Linked DNA regions of Saccharomyces cerevisiae S288C. The gene in region 2 interacts genetically with the main gene of each other region. Each region holds a gene or a part of one and is shown on either strand. Other genes may lie near its edges. The genes, in order: BIT2 and RCM1.

Evidence for each region.
Region 1: mutations in RCM1 (region 2) and BIT2 together harm fitness more than expected from each alone (negative genetic interaction), as found in Saccharomyces cerevisiae (2 studies listed by BioGRID).

The regions. Positions count from the first base shown.
Region 1 is NC_001134.8:742,062-746,038, forward strand, and holds BIT2 (Bit2p), read right to left. Parts: upstream 2,338-3,977; coding exon 700-2,337; downstream 1-699. Other genes in the region: SDH8 (Sdh8p), read right to left, coding at 99-515; EFM2 (S-adenosylmethionine-dependent methyltransferase), read left to right, coding at 2,791-3,977.
Region 2 is NC_001146.8:590,602-594,601, forward strand, and holds RCM1 (rRNA (cytosine-C5-)-methyltransferase RCM1), read right to left. Parts: upstream 2,299-4,000; coding exon 826-2,298; downstream 1-825. Other genes in the region: FAP1 (Fap1p), read right to left, coding at 1-559; histone deacetylase HDA1, read left to right, coding at 2,626-4,000.

The DNA.
Region 1 (3,977 bases), on a different chromosome or scaffold from region 2:
AATAAAGCATAACAACATACATATTGAAAAGTAAATTGAACGTTACGCAGTTTCATCAAATAAGAATAGTATTATTAAAAATTGGCCGGACCAAATATCTAGAAATCCGTTACTCTTCCGTTAAACGAATAATCGCCGTGTCTCAACGGGTCCTGCTTGGGACCCCCAACTTCACCAGTCTTGGGGTTAACATCACCTTCGAATTCAGGTATGGTCTTGGAAAATTCAGGCGAGAATGACCCAATATCGTTTTTGGTTAAAAGCGGTGAATTCAAACTCTCCTTTGTACGATCGCCGGTGGCCTGCGCATTATACTGATCTATTGCCTCTTGCGATGTGGCAATCCTCTGAAGTCTTTCGAACTCTTCCTGCTCTTCTCTTGGCAGCTTGGGAGGGCCGGGGATCCTTTCAGTAGTTATTTTTCGGGTGGCCATATTAAATGGTCGTCCACGTAGTAGATTTAAGGCTCCCGTGCGAGGATACCGATAACCTGTGCTTTTGATGGCGCACAACATTAGTTCTTCTTTTTATTATTTGGTTCTTTCTGACTCTTTAGCAAGTTAATATGATCTGCACTTTCCCCATTGGCCCCTTTATAGGGCGGAAAAGAGCATCTGTTTTTCCGGATTCTTGGAACAAGAAAAAGGAAATACACCTATCTATATGCCACTATTGTATATTACTAAATAAAATATTTAATTATATACTCATGCGTATGCCCTCAAGAAGTTCACCAATAATTCTTTGGTTTCTGCTGTTACCTTTTATGGTATTCAGGATCCCAAAACACTGCAGCAGCGTCAGTTTATCTTCCTCTGTGACGCCGTTCTGTTCTTCCTCGCTGAAAATATATCTTTGAAAACTCTTACTGGCACCGTCATTTGTATGTAGGAAGCTTTCGTAATACGGAAGAATGATGGAGTCTCTAAAACACTTTAATAAAAGGACATCAATTGACGGTGCGTACCTTGAAGGTTCAGATAGATATCCGTCAAGCCAGTAGTTACTATTTTTTTGGAAGCTTTTCTCGAAGGGCAGTAACACTGCCATCATGTCGTAGTAAACCTGTTGGTAAAACACCTTCCAGATTATGCCGACTCTTTTCAAAGCCGTATTTACGGTATCCTCATTGGCATAATTGAACACAATCTGGTTCTCTAAAATGTAAAGTGAAGTGGTAATGAATTCCTCGATTTCGGCCAAAAACCTTGAGTGCGTTACGGCAGCCTTGGTTTGTGTTTTCAAAGTGATATAAAATTCCAGCAGCCGGTCAATATCTTCTATTTTTGCTGGCAATTGCCATACCCTCTTGTTTTTAAATAGCTCCACAACTATGCTGCAGTATATACCCCAGATATTCCCCTCCAGAACAAATAACTCCTGTACGGTGAAGCTTTTATAGTTTGCTATCAAGGATGGCAAGTTTTTCAGTAAATCATGTAGTAAAGAAACATTAGTCGCGTCGAAAGCATCATCTTGGATCAGCGATAGAGCTGTATCATTAGGGTTGTTGTTAATGCTAGGGTTAAAGGAATATACAGATTTTCCAGAGTCAATAAGGCCTCCAGTAGAAGTATGGATAAACTGTACGGGTGACCTATGTTTACCATATGAAGAATGCAGAAATTTACTGAATGGGCTGGGAACTACGGGTTCAACGTCGTCTTTACCAATGGAATTATGCGGCTTGTAGGGTAAAAGCTTTTTTGCCATTTTGCTAAAGACATTACTGCCTTTGTTTGAATGAGAATGTCCTGTAGACAGTGAAGATTGTAAACTGTTCACACTCATATTAGATTTCGTATGAAACAATTTAGAGCCACTCCTACTTATGTTGTTACTACTTGTGCCGGTAATAACAGTGCCGTAGTTTTTTGACCCGCTCCTGCTTCGATTTCTCATATTATCTTTTGAATTGGTGAAGATGGACAGTCGCCTTTTATTGCCCCTTGAGTTGGAAGAAAATAAACTATCATTAGACGTGGTGTTCCCCTCCATTCGGTTACTACTTGATGAACCTATTTCGGAGTGACCATCGTTATTCTCCGTGCCTTGGCTGTACTCCTCTTCAATCGAATCCGTCGAGCGCCTTGCATTGGAACCATCATGGAATATAGATTGAAACCCCACCTGTGACCATCTAGGAGCGGCATCATGAGGAGATTTGGATGTTTTTAGATGCACATCTTCGTCGGGATGTGTCAGCGCTTGCGGTACTATATCAGAAGAAACACTATAAACTCTAGCTGGTTTGCGATTAGTTGCTTTTATGTTCGGGTTCGTGACGCTCAGTGAGCCTGAGGTAGCACTTCTTTTACGATTTAGGTCTGTTGCCATTGCTTGACTCTGTAGTTTAAGACTCGCCTAGCCACTTATGCTTATTGTGGTTTGTATTTTTTATTTACTGTCTTCTATCTTTCTCCCTTTAATTTTGACCTTATTTTAAAGCCCGCAAAGATCGCTGAAAAATTGCTAGTAAAGGTCGCATGCAAAATGGATAAAGTGCTCTTGTCAAATTATTTCAACACCTTCATTCGCAGTATAGTGGTATATTGGATTGGGTAAAGGAAAACAGGCGACACCAATATTGGTTTAAGCTAGTAGCGTATGCAGCTCTATCCAGGCATTAAAATTGGTTCACCTATTTCTGATAGTAGTTTTTTTTTTTCCAATCGTAAATTTTTTCTTCAATTTCGCGATGAGCTACAAAATAATAGTAGTGCAATCTGTATATTACTTTTCAAGTATCTAACTCATGCAAGTTAGGAGTTCCATAGCGGATATTTCACTATGTTTGATCCTCTCGATTTGTACACCCCTGATGACATCCAGGTTGAGGCTTTACAGTTCAATCTAGCAGAGAGAGAGCCAAAAGATCCTTGCTCACCGCAACGTGACGAAATATTAACGGCTGTAGATGAAGAAGAGAGTGACGACGATGACACCATTATCGATAATCTGGATCTGCCCTCCGTGAAGTATGCTCCGCCAGAAGTTATCCTTTGTATACTAATACTTCTGAAGCCCGATAGACAAGTAAACTTCAATCAGGAGACAGGGAAGAACAAATCTGTACTGGAGGTTTGCAAGAGTCATGGGCTGGAACCCGATCTGCTGAAAAGACTTTTGACTTGGTATACAGAAGAATGGCCTAACAAGAGGTTAAACTCGTTGGAAAAGATATGCAATAAAATCCCAATGCTGAGATTTACAGTATCCAAAGAACTACTGTTGGGCTACTATACTAGTGTATTGAAAAAATACAATAATAGTTGCGGATTGAATGAGGAAATCATACAAGAACTTCTTAAGGAATTGAGCTCAAGGATATCCGAAAACTGTGGGAGAACGGCCCAACCATCCATAGTAAGATATTTTGAATTAAGAAATCTAAGCACTTCCATACCGCTTCATGAACCCTCTTTAACGGCCGATAATCTTGGTTGGAAAACATGGGGATCATCTTTAATACTTTCACAATTAGTCGTAGATCACCTGGATTACCTACATACCACTAATGTGAACATGTTAGCGAACAGCGACATCAAACAGATTAAAGTATTAGAATTAGGAGCGGGCACTGGTTTAGTAGGACTTTCATGGGCCTTAAAATGGAAAGAACTTTATGGAACTGAAAATATAGAAATCTTCGTGACGGATTTACCCGAGATTGTGACGAATTTGAAGAAAAATGTGTCATTAAATAATTTAGGAGATTTCGTTCAAGCAGAGATATTAGATTGGACTAATCCTCACGATTTTATAGATAAATTTGGACATGAAAATGAATTTGACGTCATATTGATCGCCGACCCGATATATTCGCCTCAGCATCCGGAATGGGTAGTTAACATGATATCGAAGTTTTTGGCGGCATCAGGGACCTGTCACCTAGAAATACCTTTAAGGGCAAAATACGCCAAAGAACGAGAGGTTTTGAAATTATTACTAAAAGAGAGTGATTTAAAAGTAGTTGA
Region 2 (4,000 bases):
TACCACAGTGGCACATAATCTCGACCATTCTAGTACACTCTGGATGCGGCCCTAGATGACAAATTTTGGAACAACCATGCATACAAGTAGAAGCATTGCAGGTTTGTCCACATGAGTTAGGATCCAGCGGATTCGGATCAGGATTAACAACTTTACCGCACCAACATGTGGGCCGATTTTTTACCGGAACTCTTTTGCTAACATAATAGCAGTTTGGACATTTCCATATTCTATCTACGGTTTTTTCCGTTGATTTTAACGCCCATTCTCTTATGCATCCGTAATCAAACACTCTATAACATCTCTTGCAAGCAAACATTTGGCACGTATAATCCATCTCTACTGTACAAATCATACAAACATATGAGTCACCGCTAGAAATTTCCTGGATCGCACGTTCGTAATATTGCATATCATCATCACTTTCCTCTTCATACGAACTAGGCTGCTCGTTGGCGTCTTCAACACTCGAAATACACCCATCGCTTAGGTTGTGATGTCTATAAGTGTCACCGCCGTCTTGATTTTGCTCCAGGCCTAAAGACTCATGTTCGGTCATTTGTAATGCCTACGACTGCAAATAGATTAGAGCAGTCTCGTCTCACGCTGTTTCACTTGGTTGTTGCCACTGTCGCAAGAAAGAACTTTTATATTTACGACCTTTTCACAGAGCTCATCGATAATTTTTATAATAGTATATTACCCGAAAATCTTCCTTTATGTGCGGGATGTATAGATTATTGAAATGTCTTTTCCGTAGTACTACAGCAAAAATGCAATAATACATATCAGATATACACATATATACATGAATGTTCTGAAAGTTTAATCTCTTTCAAAACAGACAGCAAAGAAACCAATACCACCGTCACTTTTTGGTAGTGCCCTGATACAACCCTCGGCAAGCTGTTGAGGGTCATAGGTGACTCCATCTCTAAAAACCTCTTCGAACTCTTCTACCTTGCCTCTTCTAGGCCAAGAAGGAATAACTTCTCTTTTTGGCGCTACTTTCCAACCCCATTCTCTAACTGACTTATCTAAAAGAAGGTCTATGACGACTCGTTCATTTTCTTCCGCATGAATGGAACATGTGCTGTATACTATTTTTTTAGCCGCTGGGAAACTCATTGCATGCTTTACCATCTGGAACTGAAATGAACTCAGCTTCGCTAACCTTGTCTGTAGTTCTTCCTTTGCTATAAACTCCTCTTGCTCATCCGGCACAATGCCACCATCGTCATCTTTATCATCAATTTTCCTTCTATTAAATGAGTCAAAAAACTTACGACCAAATATACCGCTACCGGAGCAGCTCGGATCTACAATAAAACAAGTAACGTCCTTATATTTTTCAGGAGTAGCGAGCTTTGTAAAATCACCTACATTGACACTGATGTTGGGAGAACAGCCAGCTATCTTGATCATTTTTTGTAAAACTTTTGCTCTTTCAGGATCCTTCTCGAAAGCGTATATTCGAGTATTATTGTCCTTCGGTGGTTCGGGATATATATAAGAGGCCGTATGGGTAGTCTTATTACCTGGAGCAGAGCAGGAATCTATCACAATATCACTTGGTCCTGGATTCAAAATGTGGGCTGGAAAACAAGAAGCACGATCTTGAATGATAATCTTCCCATGCTTATAAAGCTCATGTGCTGTAATTTTGTCAGACGGATGAATTCCAAACAAGTTTGGAATAAACTCATCATAATAGATAGACCCAGGAACTAGTTCAGACCATTTGTCTACCTTTAAAGTAAACTTCTTCCTCAATTCGGCTAACACCGGCTCAGTCTCACCATTTGGATGGCATTTTAATGGATTGATTCTAATCCATCTAACAGGAGGAAGGTCATTGGAAATATCCTCGCTTAATACCAACTCAGATAGCTCTCTTACTTTCAATTTGAGTTTCAATTTGACCATTTCGCTATGCAATGGGCTCTTAAACTTCAAAACATAATCTTTGATGGGGTGTTTGCCCATTTGAATTCTTTTCTGCTTAGACAACAGCAAATCATGGCAAAGCAATAACAAAGTTAGCCTTGAAAAGAGTGGTTTGCCCTTTTTCTTGGGTATATCTTCCAATATGTGTGCCTTTTTCATCACTTTCTCCAAATATGGTTTATATTTCCAACACGAATCGAGAACTGCATAAATATGTTTTGGATTACTTTTCAGCTTATATCTTTTACAGCTTTTCAGTACCAGCGTCTGCATAGAGCCGGAAATCCTTTCTTTTGCAGCCTCCTTCTCAATATCTTCTAGCACCCATGTTGCATCCCTGTAGAAATTCATGCTTTTTCGTAGCTAACTTCTCAGTGAAACACTTGGTGAAGAACCAGCTCTTCTCTTAACCTCATCGAATATTTTAGGCCAGTTTTTTTTTTCCTCACTTGCCATTTTCCCGCACCGTTTGGAAATCTCGAGGAAAATGCTTCTTTCCAAAAGTTTAATCAGGTCACTAATTAGGTAAATAGAGCTGGGAGGAAGCATATACAGTGTTTCGTCTGTGGAAGGAACTTTTATTTTTCTTAAATGTTTTAATTTTTAGTGACCTAATTCACATAACAAAATATTGAGAAAGGGAAAGTTGAGCACTGTAATACGCCGAACAGATTAAGCATGGATTCTGTAATGGTTAAGAAAGAAGTACTGGAAAATCCAGACCATGATTTAAAAAGAAAGCTAGAAGAGAACAAAGAAGAAGAGAATAGCCTCTCTACTACTTCTAAAAGTAAAAGGCAGGTTATTGTTCCCGTTTGCATGCCAAAAATCCATTATTCACCGCTGAAAACTGGTCTTTGCTATGACGTTAGAATGAGGTATCATGCAAAGATTTTCACATCGTACTTCGAGTACATTGATCCACATCCAGAGGACCCAAGAAGAATATATCGTATTTATAAAATACTAGCAGAGAATGGTCTGATTAACGACCCCACTTTAAGCGGCGTGGATGACCTTGGTGATTTAATGCTGAAGATACCTGTAAGAGCCGCAACCTCCGAAGAAATCTTGGAAGTTCATACAAAGGAACATTTAGAGTTTATTGAAAGCACAGAAAAAATGAGCCGAGAAGAGTTATTAAAAGAGACTGAAAAAGGTGATTCCGTATATTTCAATAATGATTCTTACGCGAGTGCTAGGCTGCCTTGTGGTGGCGCCATTGAAGCATGCAAGGCGGTTGTCGAGGGGCGTGTAAAAAACTCTCTAGCTGTCGTAAGACCACCTGGCCATCATGCAGAGCCTCAAGCTGCGGGTGGTTTTTGTCTCTTCAGTAATGTTGCTGTTGCTGCCAAGAATATCTTAAAGAACTACCCAGAAAGTGTAAGAAGGATAATGATTTTAGATTGGGATATTCATCATGGTAATGGCACACAAAAGTCATTCTATCAAGACGATCAGGTGCTATATGTGTCATTACACAGATTTGAAATGGGTAAATACTATCCTGGGACCATCCAAGGACAATATGATCAAACTGGTGAGGGTAAGGGTGAAGGATTCAATTGTAATATTACTTGGCCGGTCGGCGGTGTTGGTGATGCAGAATATATGTGGGCATTTGAACAGGTAGTTATGCCTATGGGGAGAGAATTCAAGCCTGACTTGGTGATTATTTCTTCAGGGTTTGATGCCGCGGATGGTGATACTATCGGACAATGTCATGTCACCCCAAGTTGTTATGGACACATGACACATATGTTAAAATCTCTAGCTAGAGGTAATCTTTGTGTAGTTTTGGAAGGTGGATATAACTTGGATGCGATTGCAAGAAGCGCTTTGAGTGTAGCAAAAGTACTAATAGGGGAGCCTCCTGATGAACTACCTGATCCATTAAGTGATCCCAAGCCTGAGGTCATAGAAATGATAGACAAAGTAATTCGGTTACAGTCCAAGTATTGGAACTGTTTTAGAAGGAGACATGCTAACTCCGGTTGTAATTTTAACGAACCTATTAACGACTCGATAATATCTAAAAATTTTCCTCTGCAGA